Linked DNA regions of Drosophila melanogaster. Changing the gene in region 2 together with the main gene of any one other region gives a genetic interaction. Each region holds a gene or a part of one and is shown on either strand. Other genes may lie near its edges.

The links.
Region 1: of psq (region 2) and Marcal1, changing one suppresses a phenotype caused by changing the other (phenotypic suppression), as found in Drosophila melanogaster (one study listed by BioGRID).

Annotation. Positions count from the first base shown.
Region 1 is NT_033779.5:4,953,758-4,960,314, reverse strand, and holds Marcal1 (Marcal1), read right to left. Parts: upstream 4,807-6,557; 5' UTR 4,733-4,806; coding exon 3,966-4,732; intron 3,908-3,965; coding exon 3,417-3,907; intron 3,358-3,416; coding exon 3,207-3,357; intron 3,138-3,206; coding exon 2,973-3,137; intron 2,908-2,972; coding exon 2,625-2,907; intron 2,564-2,624; coding exon 2,369-2,563; intron 2,308-2,368; coding exon 2,092-2,307; 3' UTR 2,023-2,091; downstream 1-2,022. Other genes in the region: CG34124 (uncharacterized protein), read right to left, coding at 1-1,464, 1,523-1,685, 1,743-1,837; Jon25Bi (jonah 25Bi), read left to right, coding at 5,192-5,992. UniProt on the Drosophila melanogaster protein: ATP-dependent annealing helicase that catalyzes the rewinding of the stably unwound DNA.
Region 2 is NT_033778.4:10,554,978-10,562,592, forward strand, and holds the start of psq (pipsqueak), read left to right. Parts: upstream 1-2,910; 5' UTR 2,911-3,399; exon of another isoform or gene 3,400-3,556; intron 3,557-6,708; 5' UTR 6,709-6,827; coding exon 6,828-6,977; intron 6,978-7,048; coding exon 7,049-7,213; intron 7,214-7,615.

The DNA of each region.
Region 1 (6,557 bases), on a different chromosome or scaffold from region 2:
GCTCTTAATGGAAGCGAACTTCGTGTGGCGCATGCGCGAGTTTTCTGTTATGTTATAGGACAGGTAGGTCTCGTGATCGGTGACCTCTGTGCGGATGTTGTACTCGTACAGGTCACCACTCTTGCAACCAACCAGAACGACGGTGGGTTCCGTTTCGTGCCAGTAGAAGCAGTTCGGAATAGCTGCAAACTGCACAAATCCCAGCGGACGCATGTCCACCATCTGATGCTCATCCCGGCTCAATTGGTAAATGAATATGCTCTTGTCGGCGCTGCCGGTCAGGAGTAATGAGCTGTTCCGGCTTACAGTGAGTGCAGTAATCGGCGATGTGTGCGCCTTGAAGGCTCTTACGCGAGTCATCTTGGGCCTTTCCCCGTTGCTCAGGTCGAGATACATTTGCCGCAGAATACCATCCTTGAAGGCAGCCACCAGCTCGGTTCCCTTCACAGAGATATTCGTATCCAGCCAGATCACATCGACTCCCTCCGCCGGGAACTCTTTCTCCAGGATCAGACGCTGTTCATCGTATTGGTAAACGAACAGCTTTCCGCTCTCCGACATGCAGAGGAAATGGGGCGATACTGGAGACATCTGGGCTGCCAGTACCTTTCCGCCAATGCAGGAGTAGAGCTTTCTCGGTTTTTGAGGAACGTCGTAGGTGTTAATGTCGCAGAACCATATGCCACCGTTACCATCCTGGGCGTAGTGGGTGAAATCGGACTCATCAAAGGGATGTATCTTCTGCATGCAACGAAGCTCCACGTCGGCTATCTTGAACTCGTAGATCGGATCGATCTCTACAAACAAATCGTCCTCTGGCGGATCGGCCAAGTCGACCGTTTCCCAGTACCAAACGCGCACATAACCGTCCATGCCCACCGTCGTCACCTCACCGTTCTTCATGGTTATCCTCGTAATCGGTTTGGTGTGGCACGGTTTTCGACCCTTCCGGCAGATCTCGAACTTTATGAGCCCCGCCTGCCAGAGCAGCATGTTGCCCCAATCGCTGCCAGAGATCACATTCTCATCCTGCAGCATGTACATGGCATAGATATCGCTGAAGTCCGTCTTGCCAAAGCGACCCAGATCTCCTTTCAGCTTCAGGCCGGTAAAGGTGTTGGCCATCTTCCAGAACTTGATGTGGCTAAGCCCGGAAGAGCAGAGCAGGATGGGATTGTGCTCCGAAAAGTGCACGAACAGAATGTCGCTCTGAAAGGACTTGGCACGCAGGACAACCTCAGCGTTCTCCCAACGCCAGATAGTTATGATGAAATCCGGATAGCCAGCCTGCGAGGCGAACAATTCCCCCGTCTTGTTGTAGGAGCCCGCCGTAAAACAATTCTGAGCTGCATTCAGTAGCTTAACACGGACATTAAGCGATGGATACTCGTAGATAAAGACAGTGGGACGAGCTCCGTTCTCGCCCACCGTAAAGAGGTTGGTGTAGTCAGGATGCTCGTTTTTCTGGCAATGGAGTACCATTAGATCATACAAAGGTACTCAAAGGTACTAAAAAGCTCACCGTTATAAAGCCCACTCCGCAGCCGTAGACCGTTTCCTGAAAGGAAATCTCCTGGCGCGAAATGCTAAAGTAGTTGAGGAAGTTTCCAGAGGCAAAAACCAGCGTGTCTGAATCCACAAGGACCAAATTAAACAGCTTCTTACAATCGTAACCAAAGGAGTGTCTGCAGCAGAAGTTTTCCAATCAAGAAAAAGTTATCAACTTCCAATTCCGTACTCACTCTACACTGACGATATCACGCGGAAAGGATACGTCGTTCTCATTCTCCAACTCCTCCTCTTCGCCCAGCAGATCAGATTCCTGCGTAGTATCCATATTATTTAGCTATTATTGTACAAAACTTAACTTGCTGTGTATTTATTTATTTGATACAAGTGAAAAGGTTTACTTGAGTGTTTGTTTGCCTGTTGCCAGGTCACATGAAACCGGCTATCTGAAAAGAGTTCTGCAAACGTGGAGCATGCGCAGAAGTGCGTTCAACAAGTTTCATTCAATGCTATAACATTCTCAAATACAATTTATTACGATTAACTCAATAAACATTCTAGGATTAAATTCCATTACACAATCTAAATATCTAATTCCAAAAAAGCCTCATCATCATCATCGTTAAAGAACGCCGCGATATCCGACTCAGCCTTGTTTACTTTGGTCATTTCTGTATTATTATTTTGCTCAGGCGGCTCTTTAGCTGGAATAGTTGAAAAATATTGTTTTATGCTATTCCTTTCCGGTTCAAGGGAGGTGGACGTGGAGGGCGAGAAGTACTCCTCGATCTTGTGGGACTAAAAAAAAAGTTGAGTTAGCGAAAAATACATTTTTCAAAGTATTCAAAATGTATCTTACTGAAGTGGGTGCTGCTGTGTGTGTTGCTTTCTGAAGATTTTCGGCAAAGATGCCCACTTTACTAAGCACCTCTTGCTTATTTTTCAGCATGTTCCAGATTATATCGTCTGCCGTATTGTGAGCAATCAGATAGCGACAAATCACCGGTTTTGTCTGACCAATGCGATGGGCACGGCTCTCCGCCTGGGCAAGAGTCTGCACATAAAATAAAACTAAATTTAAGCGTTCTCCAAGTTAACATATAAGCGAAGCTTACGCTAGGATTCCAGTCCAGTTCAGCGAACACTATGATCTCAGCTGCAGTTAGCGTTATTCCTGAATTGCAGGCTTTTAGGGAGAGCAGGGCCACCTTACAACTGCTCTTCTTTTGGAACGTGTCCACAGAATCCGACCTGTGATCGCTACGCGTTTGTCCATCAATACGTATGTAGTGTACTTTCAATCCACTGAGGAAGTCGCTAATGGCGTCCATCATGACACGATGGTGGGCAAAGATAATGAACTTTTTCTGCTCCTTAACTAAGGTTTTTAGGTAGGCGCTATAATGCAGGATAATACATTAACTTCAGATGGTTTATATGGTTTTAATGATTTTTTTTATTACCAGACCGCTCGAGTTTTCACTTCGGCAGTGCGTGCATAGAAACGGAGTAAGATCTCTTCCGTTGCCCTGCCTTTAGCGGTTTTAAGCTCTTTGTTAAACGCATCCAAGGTTTCCTTGGTCTCCGCATTGGTCCACACTAGGGCGGGATCCAGGACGACAGTCTCACTGCGGATGGAAGAATGTTCGAAATGTTAGAAAATATATTATAGATATACAACAATGTGAACAACCCACCGGTTCTTCTCAGCGAGTTGAGGCAGCACCTCCACTTTCGTTCGCCTCAGCATATATTTAAGGTGAAGTATGACCTTCAGTTCCTCCAAATTCGATTGACCATTGGCATCCCAACCAAAAGTTGACTGCTTTCCATCACAATAACGAGTAGCTGTGAATGTGTTAATCGATATAAGCGCGTTCTAAGGTAAACAGACATTCTTGACATACTGAACTCCATGAAATTCATGAATTTGCCATCAATCATTTGCAGTTGCGTAAAAAGTTCCAATGGCCGGGAGAGAGCCGGTGTGCCGGATAGCAAAACCACCCGCTTCGCCTGATCCGTGAGTCTTTTGGCCGTTGTCGTGCACTTGGCCTTGCTGTTCTTCAGCGTGTGCGACTCGTCGAAGATGATGAAACCAAACTTCCGCTGCATCAGCTTATCTTCGTGTCGCTCCATCATATTGTAGCTGGTGATTAGCACCTTGGCCTCACCCACATATAGCTGATTGTTGTTCAGCACCTGGACATAGTGGATGGGCACCTTCGGCAGTAGATCCATTATGTGTTTCGCCCAACTGTCTCTCGTAGAAGCGGTGGTGCAGACAAGCAAGGGCCAATCATCCTTGAAATAGTCGGCTACGGCCAAGGCCTGATAGGTTTTGCCCAGGCCCATTTCATCACAGATCATAATGCGTCCCTTTTGGGCTATGGCAAAGCTAAACATATGATAAATTTAGCGCTTTTGGAAGTACATAGCATACAAGCAATGCTTACCATACCCCATCCTGTTGGAAGGGCATTAGCTGGTCCGCCAGCTTCGGTTCTATGGAAGCTAAAACACTTCTTTCCGGAACTACTGGCGGCTGGCCGCAGAGATCCAGCACCTTCTTCGGAATGCCATTCATGTGAACATATGGCTTTAGATCCGCTGCATGAGTTTTCAGGGATTGGTAGTCCGACAGATCGAAACTCCAGATACGGGTTTGGCCATCGTAGCACTTGGTGGGCATGTTCTTGAACACGGTCACGAGCTGTTCGTGATATCCTGAGGTTTGGGCAGCAAACCGATGTGTGCTGATCAAGTAGAGATTACACGTGATGGAGTTTCCGAGTAGCACAGCCACCGGTTTCTCCTTATCCGAACTCAGTGAAAGAGTGGGCTTGTTTCTTTCGTTCCCTCCATTTGGCCGCTGGTAAGGATGTGCTGCTCCGCGGGACAATTCCCGGTTGGATGTCTGTTTGATTGCTTTCAGAGCGTTCAGAAAGGATGAGCTCTTGTTGTCACCGGGCGTGGGACCGCTCCTGTTGATCTTCTTCTGCTCCCCCGTCGGTGATCGGTAGAAATTCAATGGGGATTTGGCCTGCGGTTGATTGGGATTTGATTTTCCATTATTCGCATGTTGCGTCGCACCTGTTGCAGACGTTGTTGATTTTCCATTGGTTGCGGGTGCGCTGGCCAGCAGCTGGGATTTCTTGGCCTGCAATTTGGCCAGCGCAATGCGCTTCTTCTCCGCTATCTCGGATGAACTGCAAGTGGACATGCTGCGACATCAATTGATAAAATTTGGCGGAATATATAAACAATAAATGCATGGCTCTGTGTGACCAGGTGAGCCATTTTTCAATCCTTACATCTTACATTGGGCGCCTATTTTAAATTATTTTTACATTTTACATACTCTATGTATACATTATTATGTATATATTATGTATAAATTATTTAGTCCTTAAATTAAATTAAAATCATTTCTGTTTTCTTATATTGCCTACGTCGGTTGTAAGCGAAGATAATCAGCTTAGAATTTTTCCTAAAAGCGAGTTATTATTTTTTTTGCCTATCAAGATGTTCTTAGACGTGCTATCAATTAATTTCCATTGGTATCAGAGGGCGAATTTCTTAGAGATAGGATAACGCCGAGTGGGGGCTACTCCAGACAGCGATAAGGGGCGCAATAAAAACGGATGGAAGTCTGGCGCAGACCACGATTGATCCAATCACCATGAAAGTGTTCGTTGTACTGGCTCTGGCTTTGGCCGCTGTCTCCGCCGAGACTGTCCAGCAGGTTCATCCCAAGGACCTGCCCAAGGACACCAAGATCAATGGCCGCATTGTGAACGGATATCCAGCCTACGAGGGCAAGGCTCCCTACACCGTGGGTCTGGGCTTCAGCGGCAACGGCGGCTGGTGGTGCGGTGGTTCTATCATCGCCCACGATTGGGTCCTGACTGCTGCTCACTGCACCAACGGCGCCTCCCAGGTGACCATCTACTACGGAGCCACCTGGCGCACCAACGCCCAGTTCACCCACACCGTCGGCAGCGGCGACTTCATCCAGAACCACAACTGGCCCAACCAGAACGGCAACGACATCGCCTTGATCCGCACCCCCCACGTGGACTTCTGGCACATGGTTAACAAGGTGGAGCTGCCCAGCTTCAACGATCGCTACAACATGTACGACAACTATTGGGCCGTCGCCTGCGGTTGGGGACTGACCACCGCCGGATCCCAGCCCGATTGGATGGAGTGCGTCGACCTGCAGATCATTAGCAACTCGGAATGCTCCCGCACCTACGGCACCCAGCCCGATGGCATCCTCTGTGTGTCCACCTCCGGCGGAAAGTCCACCTGCTCCGGTGACTCCGGTGGCCCCCTGGTTCTCCACGACGGTGGCCGCCTGGTGGGTGTCACCTCCTGGGTTTCCGGCAACGGTTGCACCGCTGGCCTGCCCTCCGGATTCACCCGTGTTACCAACCAGCTGGACTGGATCCGCGACAACTCCGGCGTTGCTTACTACTAAGCTTGATTATCTTTATTTTTAAATAAACGAAATGCATAACAATTAATTTGACGCCTTTATGTTTCTGGTTTTATTACATTTAAAAAATCACATGGATATTTTTAAGTTTCAAAAGTCTAGTCATGCAGAATCCGAATCTATAATAAACGTCTTATAGATAAGAAGCCATGAATGGCTAAGAAATGGGATGGTTTCTTGGCAATCGAACACTTGTTATCTGGAAAACATGATTAAACACTATATATGTAGCCATGATAGACATAAGTAGGAATACTAGCAACTGTGGTCTATACTAGTCAATAATCAGATAATGAAATAATATATATATTTACCAAAAGATTATATATTCCAAAGGATTATTATACTGACAAATCACAAAAGCGAAGTGATATATTTATTAAATATATGAAATATATTTCTAAAAAATAATACAACTTTCGTCTTTAAAATATTTCACTTTTTACTTGTAAATGTTTAGTTTATTGTTTTAAATTTTAATTTTAATAACTTTAATGGGAGTGCGTTTAATATTAAAACCTAAACAATGTAGCGCACTTACGAACGT
Region 2 (7,615 bases):
TTAAACTCGTTATCTATAGAAAATTGTTTAACAATGTCTCAATTGTCTTTGCGATTTATTTGTTTATTTGTTATGAGTACAACTTACAAGTATTCATTTCCTTAACTAAAGCCTCTTACTCAATGAACGCCAATAAATATTACTTTTACAAGTAAAAATATTATAAAGTTTATGATTTTTAAACACAAATTTCTTGTTTTTCTGGTGTAAACCTTAGAATATTACACCTTTTGCCAGTTGTAATTTAGAACCACTGGCGCCACCTGTGGGCCACACTTGTCTCTTTTTCAAAGCAGAGCAGAAGGGCAAAATGCTGACCTTAATATGCATTAATTGTTGCAGCAGAGCGATTCTAATGCGCTCACTCTCATTTTCCGACTCCCAATCGCTCTCTCTCTCTCTCTCGCCCCCTTTCTCTCGTTCTCTTTCTCCAGCGGGTTTCTTTCTCCGCTCCCCCACTCTGTGCATTTTCCATTTACGTGCTTTATGCTTTTTTTGGAGCAGCGCGCTGTTTCCATTTCGATCCCAATTACTGTTGTTGTTGTTGTTGTTGTGGCCTCTTTGTTGGTGTGGGGGATCTTTTGTTTTGTTTGTTTGTCCTTCTCTAATTGTGGAACCTGTGCGTGTGTGTGTTTTTAGAGATGGCACGTCAACGGGAATTTTGGTGGGTGGTGGGGGCATGTTAAATCAATACTGATTAACTGGGATTACATTGGGGAGCATTGAAACTCCCACTTTAATATGAATATTTATAGGAGCATTGAGTTTGCAGCTAAAGCTATGTATCTAAATTGCTCCAAAAAAGAAACCTTTGAAAACAATGAATGCATTCGAACATAAAATCAACTTAATATTCATATGAACCTATTGTATTTTTAGCTATTCTACACGTTAATTACACTACCTTATAAAATAGAACATAATCTTAAATTTAAAGTTTTGCTAATTTATGTATTTGTACAATGTACTTTCATATTTATGCCATTTATAGGAGATTTTTCCGCAATAAAATGATCACAGAAACTCTTAAAAGTTCTTCCTAAAAACTTATGAAATTCTTTGTTCCTGTGCAATTTAAGATATTTAGATTTAGATTTAGAGTTTGGGCAAAATGAATTCTAAATATTTGAAATTGTATATGGAAGGTATTCTATAATATTTTGGCATAAGTATATATATTTAGATTTGACCGATTAACTCAAATGATTCAGCCTCGTGACACGAAAAGTTCCACCCGCCACTCAATCCGCAGTGCAAGTAACTAAGCAAATGCGATATGTGTGTGCTTAAATGCATATAGCATGTTTATGGGTCTGCCGAATGGGGTTTTTCGAATGGAGTAGGGTGCGTTTGTGGGTTTTGTGGCGGGGGGAAAGGGGGGATGGGTATTTCGGTGGCCTATGTGCGCCTATAATTATAAGGCATATACACTATATACATATGTACATGGGCATAGCATAGCTGCGTGTTTTTCGTCGGGTAAATAGGTGCACACGTCAATTGCTGGAACGACCTCAATGGGTTCCCACTTCCAGGCCCCCCCTTCCACGGCCCACATTCGTTTGATTTTTCCGCACTGGAAAGTGGGAAAACCGGAGCAATTATTTCCCGATCCGATCATGCTACAATTATGTATGTTTAATTTTTTTTTTTTGCTGCTGATGTTGTGTTTCACTATTCACCATTCCATTGCCGTGGAGCTAGAACATGCAATTATTTTAATGTATTCGGCCTTGGGACTCATGAATGTCAATTGGCACGTAAGTTCTCCATTAGCTATTAGCTTTTACCCGCGGCTCCACGCATCCAAATGCAAATCTCTATATGTATATATAGATATGTACCTAAATGTGTACATACAAACTCATATGGTTTACGCTGCAAATCAGTCGTTTTGTATGCTAGCTTCGTTTTTTTTATGGTTTTTTATGGGGGCTAGGCGACTCCCACCCACTCGCACATATTTATACAAATTGAGACAGCGGAAAAAGTGCAACTCATTTGAATGGTTTCGCCTTCATTATGCAAATACGAGCACTGTTGGTGGCGAATATTTATTTGCTCATTATAAATACATAGAGTTTCTGGCATTTTAGCAATCATGACTTGCACGCACACGAGCATTAAACGAGTTTCTAAAATTCAGTGTAATGATCGAGTTTTATGGGACTATTGCATTCGAATTTGAACTGAGTGGGCGCCAACATATCGATAATATATAATGACAGTCGATATTTTCATAGCAACCAGCTTTCGCTGGGCTCGCTGCGCAACTAGGTGGCAGCTCTGAAATGTATATTACATGTAAGAAATCCTTTTACAAACTCAATAAATAATAATAAATGCTTGAAATAAATGTATATTTCAATACTTCTAAAGCATTTTATATATTATGTTTTTATTGGTATTACGGAAAACCTCCAACTTTCAATTTTAAAGCATTATATTTATAAATAAAATAATTCTACAAGCAAAAAAACTCATTTAATCCTGGAAGCACTTATGGATTTCACATTATAAAAGAACTGATTAAATGTATGAAGATACATCATTTTATTAACGTACATTTTGTAATATTTAATTTTTTGAATTTTCAGTTTCTGCGCGCCCATATCAAAGTCCGTAGCAAAAAAATCAATATAGGAAATGCAATAGGTGCAAGCGGGACGACCAGCTGAATCGAGCGGCGAAGCAAAGAAGACCCGATAAGGCGATGCCACCTAGTTAGAAACTAATAAGTAGTTGCATAAATAATACAGTTTTTTACACAATAGAAAATCCAAATGAGTTCTCACTCAATTTTAAAGCAAGTTATCTACTATTTGGAAACACTACCCAAGTAGTTTTCAGCCTTTGAGCACCTTTTGCTACATTTTAGCACCTTGCGGCGATCTGGCAGCGCCACACGAAAATGGCGAACACGAGCACTCCGATGAACGACGAGCTGAAAAAATAATTATTATTTTAAATTCCGTTTTGCCAGCGAAATTCGGTGCGTGCGCGAAAAAGAGTGCGGAAAAGCGCGGTTGAGAAATTTAATCGGCCCATTATGAAGCGGTCAAAGTGCGGCGCCAATGCAAATGGTTAGCCAAATGGCAAGAAATATGTAGCGATAGCGTGCCAGCCCAGTAAAATCAAATAGAATCAAATTTAAGTTTCTTGCTTTGCGAATTATGAAAAACCAATCGCAATGCGTGTGTGTGTGTGTACGTGTGGTGCGTGCGCGCGTGTGTTAGTGAGCGAGCGTAGAAGCAGAAGGCGTAGCGAGAAATAAAAATAAAAAACCATACAATAATTGATTTAAAAAAAAGAAAAGCAAAAAGGCCAACAAACGAAAAACAGCAGAAGCAACAAAAACACACGACAAGCGGCAGCAAAAACAACAACACAAAACTGGCGGTAAATACGCATACAGTACGATACAAAAAAATAAACTAGAAGCAACAACAAATACGCAACGTAACGGGAACTCTTTGACGTATTTCCTCTATTATTATGCAAAAAGGCAGGCGGCAAATTGCAGCAGCAGCGAAAATCAAATATAAATAGCGAAAAGGTAAGGACAGAGGCCCCACAAACTAAACTAAAAATAAGAGCCGAACATATTTGTTGTTTGCAGAGTGCAGTAAAATGGGTGCAAATAAATGGGCAAAAGAAAGAAGCAACAAAATACTGCAAACCTTTCAATTGGCTTCAATTGGCAAATGTAATTGTTCAGCATTACATTTGCATTACACCGCTCACCAACTCTTGCTCCCTCTCACTCTCTCTCTCACTGTGTTCTCCGCTTTTGCGCTCCCTTTGCCCCTTTTACTTTGCAAAGTTTTGCGACGAACAAGAACAATAATAATCAAAACAAAAATGTTTAAAATCCATTTTCTTTCGCCTCTCCTTCACCCACTCACTCATTTCGTAGCGCGCTGTCATTTGTCTTGCGCCTTTGCCTCCCCCCCTCTTCTTCTTCTTCTTCTACTTTACGTTGTCCCCTTCTTCTCTCTCTCCCCGCAACATTGCCGTCTCGCTCGCTCGCATGCACACCATGCACGGGTGAAGAGGAGACGTAACGAAAACGAAGTTGGTTTGCCTGGAATGCCACAGTGGGTACAAAAGGGTTTGATAGTGGTCACAGTCGACACAGTGGGGTGGGTATTTCATTATTCTGCAACAGAAACTCTTGTTATTCTTATTAAGTCAAGCAAAACTAGCAAAAATAAACATTTCTAGCCGGCTAAAAAAAAACTCAAAATCCAATCCAAAATCCAATAAATATTTAGTACAAAGTGCAAGATTGCTAATAAAATAAACCAAAAGTATAGCACTTACTTTTTGTAGGAGATGAAGGTTGTTAAAAGCATTCATATATAATTAATACGAATAAATTTATTTTATTTAAGTTCTAAATTATACGTACTTATCATTTTATATAAAGATTTACATTGCCTTATGCAGTGATGTTACAATCATCAATGTAGATCTTATAAGAATCAATAGGCCGTCCGTAGGTCGGGTAGGGTGTAGAAACATAAAGTGCAGTGAGGAAATATTAAAGGGCAAGAAAAAGTGAAAAAGCAATAGCACAAACATACAAAAAACACGAACACACATTATCCATTTGCCAAATAAACATGCACAAAGTAAGAGAAAGACGGGGAAAATGCAGAAGAAGAGGCTCCAAAAGGCGGCAAATCGCTGCATGTGTGTGTGTGAGCGAGAAGGCAACAATGGGACGAACAATATAAAAAAAAAAAAACGTGGAATTGGTCTAGTAATGTAAGAAGAAGAGCAGTAACAACGCGGACGAACGGACCGCATAATGCGCGTTTAATGATAAGTCTCTCTGTCCGAAACGAAGAGAGAGACATGGAGAGAGCGCGGCTGAGAGGCCCGCCGATTTTCGAGTGGGTGGCAACACCTAGTCTTCCTCTTTCTTTCACACCTTTTCTTGCCGCCGTTTTGTTTTGATTGCGAGTCTTCTGCGAAATGAAATGCAAATACAGTGGAGCAGCCTTAAGCTCGTAAACTTTTACATATACAATAAATGCAAATAATTTAAAATAAAACAAGTTTGGAAAATGCAACTATAAATTTTCTTATTATTTTTCTTAATTTGACTTCGAAATTTGTAAACAAAGATAGATTTCGAATAAATCAAATCAAAAACATCTCTTTGAGTATCCACTGTGGCAACTGTAACTTTGTAATAAAGAAATCCCTTGAAAATCTGACTTATTGTTCGGCATAAAATTGTGGTTGCATTTTAGCCTCCGCATTGGAAGTTGCAAGCAAAAGTTGGCATCTCCTCTCTGTCCGCCTCTTCGTCGCTCCATTGCCTCCCATTTTATTTGCACGGCAAGTTGCCTCCTCGAGCATCCTTTCAGCATTCCTATTATTCTTTTTTATGTTCCTTCCTTTTTTTTTTTGACAATGCCCCAACTAGCAAAAACAACTTGCAGGCACCAATACGTGCCATTGAAAACGAGAAAGGGAATTTAATCCGAAAAACACTGATTTCAGATACTCTAACTGCTACTTGGGGATTTTGTTTGAATGTTAATTAATTTAAAAACTAGTAGTAAATGGAAAAATGTAGTGTAAAAAGAGCGTTTTATTTGAAAATACCATTTATTTTGTTGTAAACATGTGACCATACTATGATACCCTTTTAAAAGGGCATACAAAAATGAAGTTTCACTGAAAACTGGTTTCAGTTTCGGTTTTCTTCCTTCTGGCCTGGCCCAACATTTTACATGAAAATGTGCAAAACAAAACCATTCCGGCGGTGCTAAAAACCACGCGACATGACCAGCACTAAATAAAGTTAAAATAGTAACTATTCGTTGAGCTCATAAGCTTTAAAAAAAAAGGTAACTTATGTTCGAAAATAAAACAAAATAAATTAGCTTGAATGGAATGTTCATTCATATACAAGTAATTTTGATTCTCTTCGGTAATCATATTCATTGGATTATTTTTACTCTAAACAGATTGGGAAAGCATACTAAATTGTTTTTGGTGGGTTAAACTTAAGTTAAATAGGCTGCTACAGAAAACCTTCTAGGGATAGAAACTAATAAGTTTGTTTTGAAAATCAGGACTTCAAATGCATTAGCATATTGTGATCTAAATCTCTTGAAAGTGCTAAAGTCTCGGTTCAAAAGTAATTAAAAATTGTTCTTCAATTCATACGAACTTGAATGAAAACGTTTTTAGTTTTATTATTCTTATAGAGTTATCAAAATAGAGAGTTGAAGGGAACTTAATACTTCAAGAACTTAAAAACTATTTTTATGTTAGCTGTTCAGGGTGCTACAATCGTTAATTACCATATTTCCCATAGGGCATTTACAATTCGACCTGCATAGCCTGATAGCCATTGACTATTCCTCCTACCTGTCTTCGGCATAGTTTATCCACCCCCCACCCCCCTGCCCGCCACCTCCCACTTTGCGTCTTATTCCCTGTAACTCGTTGTAAGGCGCTGTAAGGCTCTCGAACACAATGGACCGACTGGCTGCAACTCCTTTTGTGGCATCTTCAACATGTGGTTGGTGGTGGTTCAGTTGCATCGGGAACGGCAATTCGCCAAGAACTCAGATAGGAGGATGCAGCCAGTTGTCCTTAAAGTCTCTGTATTGATTGATGATTTGCCATTGCAACTCCTCGAGTGAACCGCATTAAATTGATGATTTTCTTCGGCTTTTCCCGCAGTATACTGGAGTATACACACATTTCCGCAGCGTGTTGAGCACGCCACAAGCATAAACAAAAGTGAGCAACAGGAATTCAGCTAGGATTCGGCGTGAAACGAATACGAAAAACCATACGAAATGGCAGCGGTTCGAGGACATCAGTATTTCAGTCTGCGCTGGAATAACTACCAGAACACGATGACGTCCGTGTTTCAGCAGCTGCGCGAGGATCTCTCCTTTGTGGACGTCACTCTGTCCTGCGAGCATGGATCCCTCAAGGCGCACAAGGTGAAGTATCTCGATATATGTATCTACACTATAGTTATGAAGCTAATCAAACTTTTGTTCAAAAACTCCAGGTCGTCCTGTCCGCCTGTTCGACGTATTTCCAAAAACTACTGCTCGAGAATCCGTGCAAACATCCCACAATTATCCTTCCCGCCGACATTATCTTCACCGACCTGAAAACGATCATCGATTTTGTTTATCGTGGTGAAATCGACGTCACCGAATCGGAATTACAGGTGAGTCGATATACTAGTTGTTAGTTTTTGCAGGTGATTCTAAAATAGATTTATCATTGTAAGAACGATATAATAGAGAATATATATAGAAATACAAAGGAATTTCATCTGAAATCGGAAGTATCTGATGTACGAGTATAATTATCTAGATTTTCATGTTTATATTTTATCATATCTTTCCAAATGTGTTGCCATAAAATGGGTTTAATTAGGCGGAAGTATTTATTTATATATTTCTCGCAATTGAAAGGTGTCGATATGTGAATGTTTCTGTTTTGCGGATAAGTTAACTGTATTATGAGACTATTTTTGAAATCTTTATTCCTATCTCTAATACCCGTTAATCTTTATATTTCGTAAAAACCCGAATGAAATGAAAATACACGATTATGAATAGGCGTA